Linked DNA regions of Drosophila melanogaster. The protein of the gene in region 1 interacts with the protein of each later gene in a pairwise test. Each region holds a gene or a part of one and is shown in the gene's direction. Other genes may lie near its edges. The genes, in order: l(3)neo38, CG6654, Pdk1 and CG2017.

Region 1 (4,626 bases):
GCAGTAATTAATAATTGGAAAATGTGCATATAAACTCTAGATAACACATGTAACAGTTGCAATTGCTCGAAAATCAAGCTAAACAAAGCATTGCATTCAAAGATTCAAGCGCGGCAGAAAGAGAGAAGACGAGAGAACGAGCAAGTGAGTGAGAGACGAAACAAGGAGAATGTGAGAGAACGTAAAAAACTCCAACCCTCTGTATTAAACGAGTAGAAGACAAGACTGCAACAGGAAAAAACAAGAATGAGAAAAGACATACAGACATGCACACACAGGCGCTTATGCAAGTGCACGTGTATATGTGAATTAACACATAAAAATTAAGGTGCAGTCGAATCGACTTGCCGGTCTCCTGCGCATTTATTTTGTTACTTAATAATGTTAATATTATAAATAGAGATTGCTTAAATTTATTAAAAAAAGAAGTCATACGCATATTATTATATCTCTAGGTTATAGAAATATTTCCGTTAATTAAGCTTATGTAAATGGGGGTATATATGTATGTACATATATATGTATGTACATACAAGTATTTATCTGTCATCAAAATTCATAATGAAGAGGGATCACTAATTGAAAATGGGTCGAAACTCCTAGGGGGAGTTATTTTACCGATCTCGAACCCCTAGATGTGGGTTTGGAAAACATGAAAACACTTGCAAGAAGGCAGGAGAACAGAGGCAGAAGCGGAATCAAAAAAAGAACTTGTCTTAGTTCCACGGCCTGCTTTCTTTCGCCGCTGGACTCACTTTCATTAATACAACATACAGCAGAGGCAGAATTGAATGCAACGAGAGCAATGCGCTCGAGAACGCTCTGCTCTCTCGGCCTCTCCTTTCCCTTCGTCTACACATGTCCGTGGGCAAACAGATCCAGATACATGCACACAAGCATATAGCCAAACATAGATACTTGAAAACACATCGTACATACGCCGCTACAAACTGACATATTCACATGTAAACGTATAAGTGCACAGCCATACCACACAACCCCAAAAAGTTGGAAAACCAAATAAAAATACAAGGCGCATTGTATGTGCGTTTTTCTTGTGGACACTCTACGTCGATCTATGAGTACCCTTTTTGCAAGTTAATAAGAAATTTCATTATGATTGTTTCGAGTCCTAAAGGCTATATTCAAACCCAGATATAATGTAATATTTTTAAAAAATGTTCTTCAACAAGGTAGCCATTATCAGGAAATATATTAAAAGCAGGTTATCCTTTTACCCTCCAAAGAACTACAATAGTAGTTTTAGTAGTTTAGGGCATCCAAAGTGATCAAGATCCAGAATTTTGTTATGCAAATAAATTTATTCCCTACCATTAAAATACATAAATGCAATCTTAATGGCCCTTTCTGCTGTGCCTAAACCAAATCCAGATATTCAAAAAGTCATCCTGGTCGACGTTGTCAATACATTTGTTGTTGCCTCGACGGCGGTCACAAAAAGTAGCTCATCTCTCGCTGGAAACCAGTTTTTATGCTTCGCTCCCAACCGGTTTTCATCCTGATAACTTACAGCGAATTTCGTGGCTCGTCTCACTGCGTGTCTGGCTATGAGGTTCGGATCAGCTCGGTATCGGCTTCAGTCCCAGCATAAATTGCACTTCGCCTGCACGGATCGCGCATGAATATTCTGCCCAGCAATCTGGCCAAGTGACCAAGCCAATTTCGGGAGCAGGGGCCTGGGACCAGTGTCATATGCCCGACACTCGGTGCAGCGAAATGTAAGGAACGTTCAAATAAACGCGCATTTTCCAGAGAAGTAGAAAAACTTCCACCCTCAAAGCGGCACACAGCGCACAAACATACAGACAGTCGTACAAACACACAGCGAACTAATACAGACATGTAAGAATGCTGCAGTCGTGCAATTGGTTGGTAGACGAATAGTTGCTACCCAGTAAATGCGGGGGGTCATTGCCAATGCTTAACATGATCTTGGGAATAATTAAAAAAAATATATTTAACAAGAGGAGCGCTAAAAGGGGTGTAAAATTATCATTAGCAATCGGTTGATTTAAAAACATTCTATTTATTATATGTATTAAATAATTTGAAAAACTAATTAAACGATCAACTTATAGGTAAAATACCCATCTAAACTACCGATAAAGGTAACCATGAGAGATTGGATGAAAACGAGTGCCATTAGCCCTCTAACGAAATATAAAAACTAAAAACCATCTAAACCATAAGCGAGGAAAAGGGGTGCGAATACCTCCCAACCGATATACCCAGCGTGCCTCTGGGCACTGTCACTGTCATTTGCGTCGCAGCGCTGCCGCCGTCCGCGTCCGCGTCGCTTTGCCTGGCCCAGTGTTTCCGCTTTCTTTCGCCTCGTTGTAATGTTACTTTTAGTTTGATGTCGGAGCCTCGACGAGCCGGTCGTAAGCGAAATCGTAAGCGAGACTTTAGTGCGATTCCGCTCCGTTCCGCCGGTTGTGTGTGCGTGCTTAGTTCGAGCTGAGGCGAAGCAGAAGCAGAATCGGAATCAGAATCCAGCGGAATCGAGAATCAAAATCGAAACCGAAAGTGGTTCTCCGCGTGTGCGAGCTAGTGTGTGTGTGTGTGTACGTGTTGTGTTTGGGCCCGCTTTTCTGCTTTTCTACCCCCGAAAAAGCAAAGCACAGCATAAAACTGTGCGCTCGTAAGCGCGTACGTGTGTCTATGTGCCTCTGTGTGAGTGCTAGTGTATGAGTGCGACCAGGGGAAAGGAGGCAAAGAAAAGAAAACCAACCCCCACCAGCGACGGCGGAGAACAGGAAAACAACAACAGAAGGCACACAACCAGCGCACCACCACCATCATTACCATTACCGCCACCACCCACTACAACACTTCGTCATCGTTTCGCGTTGTGCAGAAAATAATTACAAAAAAGAAAAGAAATAGAATTGCAAGTAATATTAGCGACCGATCGAGTTTTAGTGCTAAAGCGATTCGAAAGATTGTCTTGCTTAAACCAAAAGGGCCCCTCGAGGCCCTAGAACTACTATCCATTACCCCGCCGATCATCCCGATCCTGACATGATGAACTTCTCCGCGTTCGGCGGCCCCTTCTCCGGCATCCACCAATTTGCCGCTAAATTCGACGCCCAGACGCCGGGCGCCTTCGGCACGCCCCCCGCGGCTGCCGCGAATGCAGCAGCCGCAGCGGCAGCGGCCGGCACCGATAACCATGTGCAGCGATATCAGACCAATGGCAATCACTTTAATCAGAATGTGCCCAACGGTAAGTGCATCTGCCCCACCACTACACTATACTATACAACATTTACAATGTGGCTACACATACGGACAGACAATCGCCTGCAATGCACATGCAGGCACATGTGTCTGTATAACATAATCACTAAAAATTTATTTTATTTTTATCGATTTATTTTCGCCCGCTGCGGGCAGCGACGCCGGCGTCAAAGCGTCAGGGGGTATACACTCTCACTCGAGCAGCGACAGTGGCGGTGGTGGTGGGGAGACAGAGTCGTTGACAGAGGCAGTGGCAGAGGGGGTCGGCTACTGCCTCGCCTAATGCCCTACACACAGAGGGTCTTGTTTTGGGGCAAAGGGCACTACTCTTGTTGGAATGGCAACTTCTGGATAGCCTTCTTTTTCAAAAATAAACTAAACGGGCTGCTGATAGTCATCAAAAACTAACGGGTACTTCTTGCAATAACTTATGATTAAGATCATCATAAATGAGAATAGTAAAACGTAAAAAATATACAACCTCTAATTTCGGTGAATAACACCTCTTGATTGTCCAATTGGTTCATATTTTAGTATTCATGACGGCAGGAAAAAGCAAGTAGAGTAAGCAAAAATATTTAAATGAAATTAATACAAATTGCTTATAGCTGTATTATTTTACAATAATATTCTGGAGTTCACGAACAAAGAGGTTTATTGATCTCAACATAAAGTTTGATTTGACCTTCTGTTTAGCATACTTTGCTTCAAACAAATCGTAGGACCTTATGACAATCCTATGAATAATTCTCAATAGTTTCAATTCTCTGAAGCTTAGTTAAAATTTCGTTTCCAATACTCAGCTAAAAAAAAAGTCCCACTTGAAACTCGAACAATACTTTCCTTGAATTCCCAGCGAAAGGTGGCTTCCATCTGGATCTACTTACTGACATTCGCATAAAGACATGTGTGAGTGTAAGCGGGTTTTCCACCCCCATCTACGAAATTCTCGCTTTCTGGCTAGCAAAGACATCTTCTTCAGGCAATTTGTAAACCGCACTACAATTTTTTGGGGGTTGGTTGGCGGGTTGGAGCGACTTAGTACGAGTACGAGTATACCCTGTCATCAAAGCAGAATTTAACGATTTTTTCGTCGTTGTTTTTGTTTTGCGCTCTTTTTATACGAATATTCCGCTCTATGTTTTGAGTCATTACCACCCACCCCCAAGTGGGTGTAACCTGTGTGTGTGTGAGTGTAAGCTATGGCTGTTGTTGTTTTGCGTGGCTTGAAAATGCAATGAACTCAAATAACTTTTGAATTTGCTGCATTTCACTTTGTTTTTTTGTAGGGGTGGGTTTCACCGCTCTCTTCAGCTACTTAAGCACATACATAGAAATACAATTAAATGCATATACGTATGTGTG
Region 2 (4,634 bases), 3.4 Mb from region 1:
CAACGATCAGAATCTGTGGGCCGTTTGCGGTCGCTCAGCGGGTAAGTTGGATTCTCTTTACTACTCTCTCTCTTTCTTTGCTTATGATTTAATTCTGTTTCTCTACACACGATTCACTTTTGCATTTTAAGATATGGGTAAGTTCCTTGGAATAGGACACACGTAGCACTAACTAGATTTGCCCTTGCTTTTGATTGGAAACATTTAACACTGAAAAAGAAAATTGGCTTACTTCGATGAACCAACAGTCTGTACTTGTTGACTAACTAATTTTTACTTAACCTTTTAGGTGTCGTATCCATGAAGGACGTCGACAGTCATTCCATATCGCTGGATGTAATGCCGCTGAGCACCGGCTTTCTACCAATGCCCAGCATTCGATTATCCAAGTATACTGCCGGTGGCAAAAGTAAAACCGATGGCCACTCCAAGGTGCATCCCTTTCCGCCCGGTCAAGTCTACAACTCCACGAAGAGCATGCAGATCCATGTCATCGCAAGTGTGGCGGGGGATCAATGAGAAGCCAAACGAATTAATTGCAATGTACTCATAGCACATATGGCCCATGGCCAAGTATTATTAATTATTTATCGCCCTACTATAAAGTAGTAAAAATTGAAAATCAAATCAAGTTAAGATTTTTTTGCCCTCAGATCCGCGGCCAATTTGGCCAGTTGTTGCTCCTCCACGCGGTAGTAGTGCCAGCCCTCTTTATCTGTCAAATCCACGGCACCAAGACTTTCGTAGAACTTGCGTGCAGGATTCCATTCCAGTACATTAAACTCCAGGCGAGGGCACTGAAGCTCTACAGCCCGCGATGCAACCTCCAAGAAGATTCGCTTTCCGGCGCCGCGTTTACGGTGCTCGGGGCGGACATAGATGTCCTCGACGAAGAAGTACCGTCCCTGCCACGTTGAGTATGCCTTGTAGCAAATGGAGTACCCAATCGCCTGACTAGAATAGGAGAACAAGCCCACAAGTTAATCAGGTCATGCCAAGAACTACAGCACTTACTCAGTATCGTTGTCTACAAGCACATAGACTTCACAATACTCCTGGCCACCAGTGAGTCCTGCGTCTCGTTTAAGATCTGTCATATTACAATCCATTACTTTACCATTATTTCATTACTATGGTAAGGGTTTCGCCATCTCTTACCTTCCTCTGTTAGCTGGGGACCATTGCTCATCTTCTCAAAGTCAGCCAGTTCCTGCAGATCAATTCAAAAGTATCTCAAATTGGTATTAAAATAGGAATCTTATAAAACTCAACTTGAATCATGGAGAGCACATCTTTAATATCTTCAGCTAGAGCACGCCGGAATGTAAACTCTCCGGATTTCGACATAGTGGGAAATCTTTATAACCTGTGTTTTTCTGATTATGGTCAAAAGAGCTTATCTTTTGTCGAAACAATTCTAATCTATAGAGATGAGCCGAACTCTCGTGATCACAATTTAATATAACTCAATATCGATTGGGAAAAGAATTATTTGTTGTTAATAAGTAAAAAAATTAGATGAAACAAGAATAAGCCCAGATTCTTGTATATATACGATTCACATTTGAAATAATTTTATTTCAATGCACTTATCGCCATAAAATTAGATTATTTAATACTCTTCTTTACTCATTAGAATTATTTTTTGAATTGCGCGAAGGCCGCCAACAGCATTAAAGGTGTGACCAGGTGCACTTGAAATGCATCGGTATATTCAGCGTAACAAACTTCAGCCATACTGCATTTATTTAATTGTTTTATTTTGTTTCTGCATTTGACCGATTGCGTCGCGAAATGGATGTGGACAAGATCTGTCTTACCTGCCTGAGTTCCACGGGACCACTCCTGTCCATCTACGACGGCGGATCCGGCAGCTGCCTGGCGGACATGATCCGGGAGTTCACAAAAACCAAGGTGAGTTGCCTTCGCCGAGTGATCCTGATTTCCATGTTAATCTCGATTTAATTCGCGTTTTCAAGCCCCGCCGCAACGATAATCTGCCCGAGAAGGTGTGCCTAAGCTGTTTGAGTGAAATCTCCAATTGCTATACCTTCAAGATCAAGTGCGAGAACTCCAGTCGCACCCTGCGCCAATTGCTGCCGAATGCGTTGCCGGAGGAGCCCGATAGCAAGGTGTCTATCAGTTGTCCAGTGGCCACGACGGACCAGGCTGTGCAGACCACTAGCTGGGAGCCGGACAGATGCACAGCCTCCGTGCAAACGGACGCAGTGACTACCACAGACGCCGAACAGAATACCAGCCTGATTAAGTCAACGATTTCAGTGGACCTGGACTACGAAGGCGAGGGCGAGGTATTCGATTACGAGCTGCCGGATGAGCCCGTCGAAAAGACCACCAGCCTCATCCTGCAGGTCCAGGGGAACTTGAAGGACGAAAAGGAAGTTGTGTTTACCCAAACCAATGTTATTTACGAAGGCGACGACCACGAGCTGGAACAGCAGATCAGGGAATGTAACCTGGCCATCTTCGAAGGTGTCGATAACGAGGCGGAGATCATCACAGTAACCGCTCCGCAGGTAACCACCAGAAAGAGCGCTGCCAAGCTTCTAACGCAGCAGGAAAACGATAAGCATCAGACTCCTGTGGGTTCTAAGGAGGAAGCACGCGAATTAGAGAAGGAACAAGTACCTCAGTCGGCTAAGCGCACCTCACGGCGTCGCGGAGTTGTCAAGCAGGATGTACCGGCTACACCGCCGTCAGATGCAGAGCCTTCCCCCAAACAGCATCGGTTAGGAACACAGCGAAAACTCAGCGCGCCAAGAGCGGGAACAGTAAACGGGCCAAGCACAACGTCAGGAGCAGCTACTACCCCTGAGCTCAAATATCACTGTGATCGTTGCAATGCGGGATTCGCGGTGGAGAAATCGTTGATGATCCACAGACGCCAAAAGGGCTGCATTAATCGCAACTACAAGTGCAATGAGTGCGAAAAGGTCTTCGTGTCGCCGGATCACTTGGCGGAACACCAGGCCAGTCATGGTGCCCACAATTGCCCGGAGTGTGGAATACGCTGTGATTCCAAGGAGGCACTTAGCAAGCACATGGTGCAGGGCCACAAGCGGAATCTGCGGAATCAGTGCAATATCTGTCAGAAAGGTAAGATAACAAAGAGTGGTCGAAAATCCTATTTAATTGTCTCTTAATATTGTAGTATTCACCATGCTGTCCACGCTGCGTGACCACATGCGCATCCACACCGGCGAGAAACCCTTTGTGTGCAATATCTGTGGCAAGAGCTTTACACAGAATGCCAATCTGCGCCAGCACAAGCTGCGTCACTCGGAGACAAAGAGTTTCAAGTGCGAGCTGTGCCCGCACTCGTTTGTTACCAAGGCGGAACTCACCTCTCATGCACGCACCCACACCGGCGACAAGCCCTTCGAGTGTGAGGTGTGCTTGGCCAGATTCACCACTAGTTGCTCCCTGGCCAAGCACAAACGAAAGCACACTGGCGAACGGCCATACGCCTGCGATCTCTGCCCCATGAGATTCACTGCCCTCAATGTGCTAAAGAACCACCGAAGGACGCACACAGGTGAGCGGCCGTACGTCTGTCCCTTCTGCTCGAAGACCTTTACGCAGCGGGGTGACTGCCAGATGCACCAGCGTACACATCAGGGCGAGCGGATCTACATTTGTCCGGTGTGCAATGAGGAGTTCAAGTCGATGCCCGAGATGCGATCACATCTGGCCGGCCACGAGCAGCACGACAAACGCCTGGTGCACTTCACATTTCTAAGCAACAAGGAAAACGGAAGCGGGGCCCTTGAAGAGGAACTTAACGAGATGACCGAGTCTGCGCTTATGCTATAAATCAATGTAGAAGCTGTGCAAGCAAGGCGGCTTTTGTAAAGGTGGTTGAGTTTGCCTAATACCCAAGACGGATCCTTACTTTTAATTGTAATAATGATTATAATCCTAAGTTGAACGACCCAACTCAAATGCGCACAACTCATCCGCTTTACATTTCCGTCTACTCTTTCCCTCGGGAACACAGTTTATGACAAAATTCACAACTTTAGAACATCTTTAGTCTTAACTTAGTCGCTAGGTCGTAGATAAAAATAAAAGCTTAAAGTTACATTGCATAATCATCTCATTGCTAGTAGAACTGACCGTATTGCCCCGCCGGCTGCATGGCTGTCGATGTGGAGGCGATGACGGGGACTGAGGCTGTAACGGAGGACTCTGGCATGAGCAGGACGGGAGCAGCCGGCGGACCACTCGTCACTGGCGGATCGCCCTGGAACCAGTTGACGAGTTCGTGATGCGCACTTTGGACGCACTTGCGCTGGTCTGCAATCAGGTTCTCCGAGTATTTAACGTGGTTAGCATAAGCATCTTTTTCATGCTGCACATCCTTTGACATACGATGCAGGTCCTTTAGTATTGCCGATCCCCACAGCTGGACGTGGATGTCGGGTATCTTACTGGCCAGTTGCATGGCCGGCGTCACCATGTTCATGCTTTCCTTTGAGTTTCCGATGCTGAGAAAGACGTGCGATAGCAAAACCAACGAGCAGCTGGTCAGTCGGTTGAGGTCTTCGGCGTTGGCCATTTTCAGAGTTTCACGCAGAAAGCGTCTGAAAAGAATAAAGATTATCAGTTTACAT
Region 3 (4,960 bases), on another chromosome or scaffold:
CGGGTTTAATAATGGGCAACTAAATGAGAGCTCCGAGGGTTCCGAACCGGTTCGTCTGCCAAGCTTAGCTTCCAAGCGGGGGGAAGTCCAGCAATTAGAAAGAAACTGGTGCACAGCCCACCGTTGATGACTAAATCAGCTGGGATTTCGTGAAATTAGCTTTTTATACTAAGCGCTTGGCTGAAAATATATGCAAATGGGATTTTAAAAATATTTTTCAGGCGACATTGTGTCTCGCCGAACCTCGATTGCTGCCCATTAAAAATGCTAATTTCAAATATTTTTTAGCAGAAAGCAAGAAATAAATTAGCCACAAAATGCTAAAAGCAGAGGCCAAATAAAAACGATTTTAACTAAGCCACCGAACTCGCTAAGGGTGAGACAAATTAAATTGAATTTGATTATTATATAAAATAAAATAGGTAAGAAGAAAATTCGCGACCATTTCTAAAATATGCAGTCAAAGTTCATTCGATGAAGACGAATTGTAATTTTCATAGATTTATTTGAGCCTAAACGCCGTTCAGTTTGAATGAGTGCTTATCACAAGTACACAAAAACTAAAGAAATATTACTTATATTGCTAATTGATAAGGTCTTTGAATATTAAATGTGTTTATTAAACTGTGTTATTTAAACTACGCAGCAATTCACAAGTAAGTCTTTAAACAAATTAAGCTAGGAAATTTAAATAATACATAAATGGAAACTCAACCAAATATAGAAAATAACAGGAATAGAACTAATATTTACAATATTTCTTAACAAGATAAAAAACCATAACAGGAACAGAACTAATATTTACAATATTTCTTAAAGAGAAAAAAAAACAAAGTGAGAGAAAAACTTGATGACGAAAGCGTCGGCATCCACGTCAGCAAAGCCAAAGCAACTGCAGTTTCCGCTTCCCCTTAATTTTGTTTTGTTTTCGCTTCGTAGTAAAACGTAAAAACGAGAATAAAACCGTGAGCGGGAGCGGGAGCAGCAAGTGAATTTTTTCACGCTGGGTGGAAAAGGCGCGCGAACGTGACGGAACGCCGGAAAGTTGTGGAACAGGCGATGTGAATGAATTGTGGAACGCGTTTGTGTAGAAGGCCTTACACTTATGCTAATGTGGAACCCAGAGTGCGGATCAACGAACGATCCGTGCGCGAAGAGAGCGGGAATAGTTTAAATTCCAGAAAATGCACATTTGTACACATACATACATACATAATTGCCTTGGAAGTTTACGACAGCGACGTTGTCCACAATTTCATTTTATAGATGGGGGCGTGGCACTGATGCATGATCTTGATGGAATTATGTACCTATGTATGTATGTATGTAAATGTAAGCAAGATTCGTTGCAGTAACAACAAATAAGTGGATGAAAACAAGTGCGTCACTTACTCATTAATAAATAAATAATTAATGGGCGGCGCATTCGAAATGTAAAAGAAAACGCAAATAGCTTGCCCACTCGCGGCAATAACGGAACCGTGACTTGCAAATCGGTGAAATGAATAGGATATGCATAACTGTTTTTTCGAAAGACCTGCAAATAATTCAAGAAAGTTCCAGAAATACCCAAATTTAATAGCTATCCAACATTAGGGTGACAATAACGTGTTTCAACAGATGCAATATATACGCAAAATCAAAGAAAAACAAACAAAACCCGTTAAAAACTAATTATTTAAAAAAGAATACAAAAATATAAATTTAAAGCTAACTTAATAAAAAATAACATAATTTTCCCATTATTCATGTGTCGATTAAAACTCAAATGAAAATTCTTACACTTCTCCGCACTCTTTTTTACCCCATAACTCTCTATCTCTCTTCCAGTTCTCCGCGCTCACGATTTGGTAACTGTGGCCCAATGCCGCCGTTCCCAGTTTAGCGCGCTCTCCTTGCCTTTTCTTTCGCCTTTTCGACTCATTTCGAATCGGAAATTTGACGGGTTCGGTCGTAATCACGGATACAAATTTGACGCCCTGTTGGAAAAACCACAACGTCCAATTTTCCTTTTATCGCGCCAAAAAGAAATGCGAGTAAGACCCGAGTCTTCGTGTATACGTATAATTACCATTTGCAATCACAAAGGTTTTGCAACTGTCGCCGGGCGGTGAAAACTCAAGTGAATAAATATCGCAAAGTGAAGCAAATAAAAAAATATTACAAAAACCGGTAAAACGAAATGAAACTGAAATGAGTGAGGGCAGCAACTTCAAGTGACGAAAGCAATCCGTTTACCGTTGTCTTTGCCTCTTCATCCTCCCCGAGAACGGCGGAGAACGCGAAAAATATCATGAAATGTAAAAGCTGGTCCAACAAAATTAACAACTACGTTGTGCGCAAAATAAAGTCTATCAAGGTAAATAGTGTCTTAAAAAGGTGCGGTGTTTGGCCCTGATACATATATACTTATATTTATTTAAATTTTGATTAAGTGAATATATCTTATGAGGCTTATGAGACTTGTTAAGGTGTTAAAAAATAAGTTTATAGCATAGATATGGGGTAATGCGAAAGTACAATTTGTTAAAGTTGTTTTTAATTAAAATAATTTAGTAAAACTTTTTTTACAAACTACAAGTAATGCTTTCGAGAAAATACCTCCCATCAATTTTATCGTTAAATTACACAAAATTGTTCTTGGAAAAAAAAATTGAATTGGTTGTACAAATTTTTGTTTACAAAATACAAAAGCTGCAAAATAATTTATTGACATGAAATAATGAAATACTCATAAAGCTGTGAAATTTAATGTTTGAGCTATATAGCAAAAAAAAAAAGTATTTTTACTTTTTGCAATTCTTGTTACCAATAAATTTAAATATTTCCGTACATTTCATCTAAAAAATTTCCATTGACAACACATGCTGGTATAATATATAAAGATCAAAGCCATAAACTCCTCACTAAGTGGGCAATAAAATAAGATAATTCAACGACTGTCTGTATAACAACCACTTTAAAAGCTATCTAGATGGAGTTGATTATGAATACATTTTCAGATGCTTATATTACTCGACATAAATAGGCAGTGGATGTGTATAATTATTTTGCAGGCACCCGACAACGAAAATAAAATGCATAAAAAAGTTTAATGAAGCCGCAGGGGTTGACTAAATTTATTTAACAACTGCAGTTCATTGCCTCGCAAATTGCTTGATACTTTAAAAACAACAACAAAAATTCACAGCAAAAAAACACAATGATTCCAGCTGGTTTCTAAACAACAATTTATTGTGGTTTCTTTTACTTTTAATTGCTATCTATTAGCAGCAACCAATAAATGAATTATTTATTTTATTTTCTCTTGCAAGCAGCCAAAAGTAAAATTATGCCCCTCTCTCTCCCGATCCGAGTTCATCACTTTGTCTTCTTTTAGCTGTTTTTATTTTGCAAATAACTTGAGTAGTGGATGGGAAACAACGCAAAGGCCTTTCACTTGCATGTCTGTTGCTCGGTTTGTTGTCATTAGGTTTACTGTTGTTGTTGCACACACTCATCCGCTTACATACCTCGTTTATATACTTATTTACATTTGAAGTTGCCGTCGTTGGTATGTTTTACTACGTATCAGCTTGTCCGCTTTGAGCTGCCCCTTCGCTTTTCAAGCATTTTGTTTTGTCCGCTCTGTTTTTCAGCTATTCCAATTCTCTTCCTTCGTTGCCCTGTGTATGTATTCGTAATCGGGTTCGGATTCTTGTTTATTTTTACACCACTTCTCTTTCTCTTTCGCACGAAAATTCCTCGAATTCTTTTTTATCCATATTTTCCTTTTCCAGCGGGAAAAACGAGTTTTTCCAGCAGCGCCGCATTCTTAGCCTGTCGCCTTGTCTCTTTCCCACTTTTATAGTGTCTCCGCTTCTTGCTTGTTTACAGTTAGGAATGCGGTCGTCTCCCCTCTCTCTCTCTCTCTCTCTCTCTCTCTCACTCTCTCTCTTCAAAAAGAGCGTGCGCTCTCTTTGGCCTTATGTAGTTGTGTGGATTTCGACTGAAACTTGTTTTCGCTTTGCCCCGTCGTGTTTATTTATAAAAAGTCACTGGCAAACAATTACAGTGCAACAATTACGCTCTCAAAAGTGGCGCGCAACTTGTTCGCCTTGTAAAAAAAATTGTGACGCCAGCGGCGACACGACTGCGCTGCTTTGGCCCCATTTAACTGAGAGCGCCGAGGGTTAGCTTGGCGGGGGCGGCAACGCCAAAGAGAGTTCTCTCGGGTGGCGCTCGTCTCCCATCGGTTTCGCTGCTCGAGCCAAATGCTTGGAAGTCAAAGTCTCGCCCGACCATAGTTTCTTATTGGATTTCAAACCAGTCGCTTCGTGCACGCGGCGTTCGACTACGCACACACACACACCCATAGCGCGCTGGCATTGATATACATACACAGGCAAATACACGACGCCCCAAGTTCGTGTGATGTAGTGCTGTAGTGGTGCGATTAAATAATACTCCACAAAAGGCCAAATAAATTACATAAAATCTAAATCGGAATAAAAATAAGTGTATTCTCCCTCCGTGTTGTGTTCAAAGTATTTAACCGATTGTTTTCATTAGTCAAATTAATGTAGTACAACGTATGAGTGTGAGCCAGTTCCTAGAAAAATAAGAGGGCATAAAAAATAACAGACACATACAGCGTCTCGTTTCTTATAAATTTTCCTACTGCGTCGGAATTATTGTCTTGATTATTGTTGTTTCTGGCGAACTTTTGTGATTTGTTTCGAGAAACATACTGCGGCGGTTTCATAATTGTGCAAATCAAGGGAAGCACAATACGAATGTTAAGAATCAAAGCTAAGAATTAAATAAAATTAAAGCCGCACACATACATATACACAGGCACGCGCAGAGTCGAAAAAATACGCGCGCTCGCTCTGTACAGTGTGTGCGTGTACGCGGTGGCTGGCTCTTCTTCTTCATTCGTGTGCCCATTGGAATTTGTACCCCAAATCGAAATTACAAC
Region 4 (6,739 bases), 5.9 Mb from region 1:
ACCTGTACCCATTGCGAGGCCGAGTGGCTGGGAGCAGGGCTCTCCAACTCGAAACTCGTTGTTGAATCTGTTTGTCCCGGCTAAAGTGAGAAGAACACATCCCCCGGAAAACATAGCCCCTCCTGCCGCAGACGCACTATTTGAACTGCCCTCCCGCAAACGAGATCAAAGTCGGGCCGACCCGAAAAAAGGCAAAGTTATATTGGACACGTCTTGCGCCATTGCGTGCCCAGTGCTGGTCATTATTTAACTTTTAAACACGCGCCAAAAACAGCACCAGATTTGAATTTAATGGTCACAGCAGTTGCTCCCGCTCCCGCTACCGCTCCGGCTCCACTGGCATTAGCAGCGGGGCCAGCCAACAAGTGAGCAATAAAGAAAAGTTTAGAAAAATATCCCAATCCATGCTGCCGGCCGAATCACCAATCCGGAGTACCCCATCCCAAATGAATGGGTATATAGAACTGGGCACGGATTTGTGCGCACGATAGCGCAAAACGATGACAATAAATGGAAAACTTTTTAATAAGCTAATAAAATGATTTATGCGGGTCGAGCGATAAGAGGGATAAAAGGCACGGAGTTCCACTTCCAGATGGCCATTTGATGGGCCCGATTCCGGCCAATTCCGACAGACAGACACCTCATTGACGAACGCCAACCAGTTGGACCTGAGCACGCACACACACACACACATACACAACGAATGTATTCTTGAGCATTATTTATTGGATATTGAATGGGTCGGCCCAGCTCGCAGGATTGGGGCAGTTCAAGAGGGGAGCGTAGCCCCCACCCCCCCACCACCCTATCATCCCCCTTTCATTGGCAATTGTTATCAAGGCATTAGCACATCGGAAATGCTATACGACTATATCATACTCAAGACAAGGGCTAAACGACTATAAGTGTTCTAACGTTTGTCATATCAGTTGGGCGATTCAGTTCTTGACTTTCTATCGAAAAAACGTAATTGAAAAAAAGAAATGTATATGCTAAGTCATCGATAGCGATTAGTAAAATCAATGTAATGTCATAATGTTTAAATGTAAAAGTTATAGCATCCAGGTAACTGGTAGAGCAAATCGTAAACTTCCTCCAAGTTTATACATATATAGTAAAGGTCCCCGCTGTAGATAACCAAAATCGAGTGCCAGTAGTGCAATTTTAAAACGATCCCCAACAACCTGTAGCATCACGACATCCCCATGATCCATGTCGAGGTCAGCAGATACTATTTTATGAGCCTCAGAGAGGTCAACGATGTACATACATACATGCAAGCCCAAGTCCCGAAAACAGACAGACATACATACATATACACATCATTGTAACTGACTACATATGTAAAAATGCTTAAAATATTTGTGATAAAGTAATAATGTTAATGATAAGGAATAAAACGTAAATATATTAATGAGAATACATTGAGTTTGAATTAAAGCAATTCGAGTTGTATTTTCATTGCTGGGAGGCACAAGGTTTCCTAAATTCTTTTTTTAGCAATCTAAAAACGTTACCATATCTTCACTCATTTGAATGATTTTTTGATACCAATACAAAATTATTTTGTAGCAAAGCAGATGTTTTTGAGCTTGCAAGATAGCTCCATCGAGATTGGAATTAAGTTCTATGCTGGCTAATAAACTTATTTGAGTAAAATTTACCAAAACGAATTCTCAACACTAAAGTACTAAAGTAAAGTATGGAAATGTAGGACATGCAGATGACCGCCTTCGCAACCCCATTTATTGTTAAAAATACGTTACTATTTAAATTTGAAAAATGTGTGCCGTTCACAATGGACGCCCCGTCAGCCAGTGTTGGTAAGGGTGCGCAGCAACTGGATAGGTCAGTGTCCAAAAGGGACTAACGCGTGGCGAGCATAAACATCTGTTTGTCGGAGTCACAAAATGTAGGAAGTTTATGGTTTATAATAATTGATTGGATTGCTGGCGCAACTTTGGCGTCCCCGAAATTTGAAGTGTGTTGTGAGTGCTTAACCCACATGAGTGCAAAATTGCCATGGCAACGTGAATCGAACACGAACAGCAACACCCACACAGAGACCATTGAAGATCCGCGCATTGTGGCGCAGTATTGCATCAGCAACTGCGTAAGTGCAGCACATTGACTCCATTTTTGTTTTGCTGATGAAATCGCAGCGCGATTTTTGTTTCTTGTGAAATTCCGCTCTATGCTTGCCAAGCTTTTGTTTGTTGGTTGCATGAATTCGGTAAACGCGACAGTTACTTCCCGGAATTCAAACGGAAAGGAGCTTTCCGCGAAGCGTCCTCAATCAATTTCGAGATAGAGATAGAGAATAATAACGCAGCTGACGCGGTCAAAACAAAAGCGCTTGTGTAGAAAATCAAATGCGAAGCAAACGCGGCGAGGACAAGACGCGAAAAGCTGTCAAAACTACGCGCCGAAAAAGGAAAGGGTCTGGTCGATCAGAAATCCGCTACGCAACACAGATTGCGTATCTACATAAAACGTAATAATTTAATTGTGTGGGAGTTATCTCACAATTAAGAAGGTTCGTTTTTAAACTAAGTTTCCTTATTTGAACAACAATCGTAGAACTAAAGAGGTGTGTTTGAATTGTGGAAAGCCAAGCATTAATTGTTGAATAAAATTATCAAACGTCGCGGCTTCGCATCAAAATCGTGAAAAAGTTAACTTTTATAGTTCCAGTGTCGAAGGACGTAATGGCGTGTGACGTAATTAAACATTGTATATCCTGCCTTCTAATTGCAAAAATAAAGTAATTAGAATTAAAACCTATAAATTTACCATTTATCGTTAGCTTTAGTAATTAAATAGGTTCGTAATAACATCCCGCATTAAATATTTAGGTAACTTTCTTCTTGTGGAAATTCACTAAGTTAATTTTTTTAAGCTCAACCCCCACTTGCTAAACAAAAAATACGTTCCATGAAAGAACTCAAACGCCCTAGGGTAAGGTATTGCGAAAGCTTTTGAAGTATTCAGGTGCTTGTTCTTCGGTCAACAAAGCAAAACAATCGGGAGCAGGTTATAAACAAAATCGAAAGGCACCCAAAAGCGGAGAGCACAAGTACGCACACAACTACGAACTACAACTACAAAGCACAGCACTCAGAACCCAGATAGCCGAACGAACAACAAATTCGACCTGGGCAAATGAAAAGCGCAGCCAAAATCGATATTTTGTGCCAGCGTCGCGCGCAAATAGGAGCTGCTTTAGCGCTTAATATCTCGAATAAACTCGAGCGGATTGGTTTGATTAGTGAGCCAAATATAGGGATTATCTGGTAAGATGTTTGGAACTTGTCGTATTATCGACCTTCTGTTCCACCTGCCCCCGCGCGTGGGCTCGAAACAACGGCCAGAGTCGTGGCAAACATAAACAAGCATTTTCAAGGTCGCTGCAAGTCAAAGACGGCCAAAAAAACAAATGGGGAAAATTTCAGTTTTGATGGATACACATAAGCAAACGGTTCCATCAAAAAGATACATAGAAGTTGAAAAATAATTGTTTTTAAAGTGAAACAAATGACGTGGTGTCGAAATAAAATTAAAAAAACTTTAGTACAATATTAAAAGTTATTTCAACCCAATTATATTGGGTAATTCTCAGACTAAATACAGTACAGTATGAGTAAACAAATCAAATAATATTTACTTATGCATGTATCTCATTGCTATTATTTCAGCCACGGCTGTTCGAAAATCTGTATGTATGTACATAAGTATGTACATATGTACATTTTCGATGTCGCAATTGGCCCAAAAAATGTTTTCTTCTCAAGACAAAGAGTTCCTTTGTCTAAACAGAATTTTTACCATTTACCTCATCTGAATTTTGTATTTATATGATCCACGCTTCCCTTTTGCAGCAACACATTATGGAGTCCTTCCTGAGTCTCTTTGATCCCAATCAGGACGACGGCTTCGAGGAAGAGCCCGAGCTCAATGGCAACAGCAGCGGCGGCGGAAGCAGCAGCAGCGACTATGAGACGGACGCCAATGCCAACGAGTGCAGCGTAGTGAGCGGGATGCCCACCGAGCGGGGCAACCTGATCTTCGACTTCGAGCAGGGAATGCTGCCACCAGAGCCGCAGCTCGGAAATGTGGAGTACAAGCTGAAGCTGGTCAACCCGTCGAAGCAGCGATTCGAGCACCTGGTGACCCAGATGAAGTGGCGTCTGCGCGAGGGAAACGGCGAGGCCATCTACGAGATTGGAGTATCCGACGCCGGCTATCTGCAGGGACTCAGCGACAAGGACATGAATGCCTCGCTCACCACGCTCAAGCAGATGGCCCACAGCCTAGGAGCCAGTACCTCAGTGCTGCGGCGAAAGACCATCGCCGCCCGACGCGCCGTCGCCGAGGTACTGGTCCGTAAGATCCCCGACGACCAGCACAACATCGAGGTTCGGGTGGCGGTGCTCGGCGGAGCTGATGCAGGCAAATCCACTTTGCTGGGCGTGCTTACACAGGACGAGCTGGATAACGGACACGGCCGGGCGCGGCTCAATATGTTTAGGCACATGCACGAGATTCAGTCTGGTAATATGTCGTTATAAGCACTAAACACAGATATAAATTAAATTAAGATGTTTGGCATCCATTTTAAATTGTCATCAATAAGGAATATATCAGTTGTACTACATTATTCATACATCTCTCGTTTACAAACTTTTTTTTAAATTATATTTATCACTCACAAAGTCCGGTTTGTTTGCTTGAAAATTACCAATTTGCTCCTCTTTTCCTTAAGGCCGCACCTCCTGCATCTCCCACGAGACGCTTGGCTTCGATGCACTGGGTAATGTGGTCAACTACAAGTACAATGAGATGATGACGGCAGAGGAGATTAGCGACAGGTCCAGCAAGCTGGTTACCTTCATGGATCTAGCCGGACACCGACGCTACATGCGCACCACCGTGCAGGCACTGAGTGGATACTCACCCCACTACGCCATGCTGGTGGTATCGGCGGGCAGCGGTTGCAACGACACCACCGAGGAGCACTTGGCTATCGTGCGGGCACTGGACATGCCCTTCTTTGTATTGGTCACGAAGACAGATATCACATCGCCGGACGCGACGGTACAGGAGTTGTGCAACCTGCTCACCACCATTGGGTGCCGGAAGGTTCCCTTTGTGGTGACCAACACGGATGAGGCCATCTCCGCCGGGTCAAACCAGATCTCCGAGAACATTGTGCCCATCTTTTGCGTATCGAATGTGACCGGCACGGGACTCAACCTAGTCACAAAGTTTCTGTACGTCCTTTCGCCCGGAATCAGCAACGCCGAGAAGGATCGACTCGAGCAGGAGTCTTGCGAGTTCCAGGTGGACGAGATCTTCCGGGTCTCTGACGTCGGACCCGTTGTGGGCGGTCTACTTGTCCAGGGCGTGCTGACCGAGAATATGGCAATGAAGATTGGTCCGCTTCCCGATGGTAGCTTTCATCCCGTTACTGTTAATACTATCCACCGAAACAAGGCTCCTTGCCGAGTTGTCCGAGCTGGTCAGAGCGCTTCGCTGTCTTTCAGTATGGATCAGGATGTGCCCACGCTACGAAGTGGCATGGTTCTTTTGGGTGATATTGGAAATAGTCTGGATGAGCCCTACGGGACCTTCTTCTTCCAAGTGAGTTGCTAGTTTTCATTTATCGTTACCAAATAAATACATCAACTTCCCTTTGCAGGCCAAGGTGTCCGTGCTGTTCCACGCCACGGCCATCTATGTCGGCTTCCAAACCACAGTCCACATAGGCAGCATTCGCCAGACGGCCGTCATTCGGGGCATTATGGGCGGCGAGCGACTGGGCACAAACGATTGTGCTTCGGTGATGTTCGAGTTCGTCGGCCACCCGGAGTACGTGCGTCCTGGAATGCGCATCCTGTTCCGCGAGGGCACCAGCAAAGGAATCGGAGTTGTCACGCAGGTGTTTCCGGTCAACAAGACAGGCATAAAGTAGAGAAGCGGGCCAGATGGATAGTTCCAATGACATATCTATATATCTCAAACAAAGATGACATGTACATATACTTAATTAGCAATTAGAGGGAGGCGTTAAATCTTAGGCAGATCTTCTGTACACTTAGTTTCGGGTTCTGTGATTTTTCGTTTAAGCTCGGCTCACAATCGGATGTTGTGAGTAATCCTTCTCAATTAACCTTATTTCATTAAAATCCACCCCAAAATGCATACAATGTTGCTTTCAATTCGCGTCCGAGCCAAAGAGTATAAATAATTACCGAAGTATTAATTTTTTTCCTTCTAGCAGATGTACATATATATGTACATATGATCAAAACCGACTAACTTTAAGCAACATTTACCATCAATTCTATGGTATACAAAGACGAAAAAGTGCTCAACAATTTGTTTATTTCTGTCTACTGCTAATGTGCTCATCTTGACTACTGTTATCACTTGTTGCCGGGACACTGGCGCCACCTTCAATTTCCTCCGCCTTGGCTGGCACTTCGGATGTGAACCGGAAGAGGACGGGCACCTCTCCTATGGAGGGATTTCCGTTCGCTTCCAACAGGCGAATCCACGAGAGCAATGAGTCCTTTGTGGAGGTGCCTGTGGCACAGATGGCCATAATGGTTCCGTCGTCCTGTTGGTGGACAGAGCGCAGCTTTCCCAGCTGGTTGTGTCGCCTTGGTGGAGCACGACCAAAGAAGGGTACTTCGATGTGGGAGACATCGTCCTCGTCCAGCTGCCGCTCATCTAA

The links.
Region 2: the proteins of l(3)neo38 (region 1) and CG6654 interact in a two-hybrid assay, tested with the Drosophila melanogaster proteins (one large-scale study listed by BioGRID).
Region 3: the proteins of l(3)neo38 (region 1) and Pdk1 interact in a two-hybrid assay, tested with the Drosophila melanogaster proteins (one large-scale study listed by BioGRID).
Region 4: the proteins of l(3)neo38 (region 1) and CG2017 interact in a two-hybrid assay, tested with the Drosophila melanogaster proteins (one large-scale study listed by BioGRID).

What each region holds. Positions count from the first base shown.
Region 1 is NT_033777.3:11,776,095-11,780,720, reverse strand, and holds the start of l(3)neo38 (lethal (3) neo38), read left to right. Parts: upstream 1-1,592; 5' UTR 1,593-1,739; exon of another isoform or gene 1,740-1,863; intron 1,864-2,099; 5' UTR 2,100-3,042; coding exon 3,043-3,247; intron 3,248-4,626.
Region 2 is NT_033777.3:15,210,746-15,215,379, reverse strand, and holds CG6654 (uncharacterized protein), read left to right. Parts: upstream 1-1,721; 5' UTR 1,722-1,794; coding exon 1,795-1,914; intron 1,915-1,979; coding exon 1,980-3,117; intron 3,118-3,172; coding exon 3,173-3,834; 3' UTR 3,835-4,103; downstream 4,104-4,634. Other genes in the region: SIDL (shal interactor of Di-Leucine motif), read left to right, coding at 1-41, 290-519; CG4210 (uncharacterized protein), read right to left, coding at 633-954, 1,015-1,090, 1,159-1,210, 1,273-1,347; Mau2 sister chromatid cohesion factor, read right to left, coding at 4,124-4,604.
Region 3 is NT_037436.4:127,530-132,489, forward strand, and holds the start of Pdk1 (Phosphoinositide-dependent kinase 1), read left to right. Parts: upstream 1-1,920; 5' UTR 1,921-2,293; coding exon 2,294-2,359; intron 2,360-3,200; exon of another isoform or gene 3,201-4,042; intron 4,043-4,282; exon of another isoform or gene 4,283-4,960.
Region 4 is NT_033777.3:5,857,547-5,864,285, reverse strand, and holds CG2017 (uncharacterized protein), read left to right. Parts: upstream 1-1,880; 5' UTR 1,881-2,008; coding exon 2,009-2,116; intron 2,117-2,383; exon of another isoform or gene 2,384-2,539; intron 2,540-2,981; exon of another isoform or gene 2,982-3,296; intron 3,297-3,881; coding exon 3,882-4,554; intron 4,555-4,765; coding exon 4,766-5,643; exon of another isoform or gene 5,644-5,701; coding exon 5,702-5,974; 3' UTR 5,975-6,203; downstream 6,204-6,739. Other genes in the region: ECSIT, read right to left, coding at 6,386-6,739.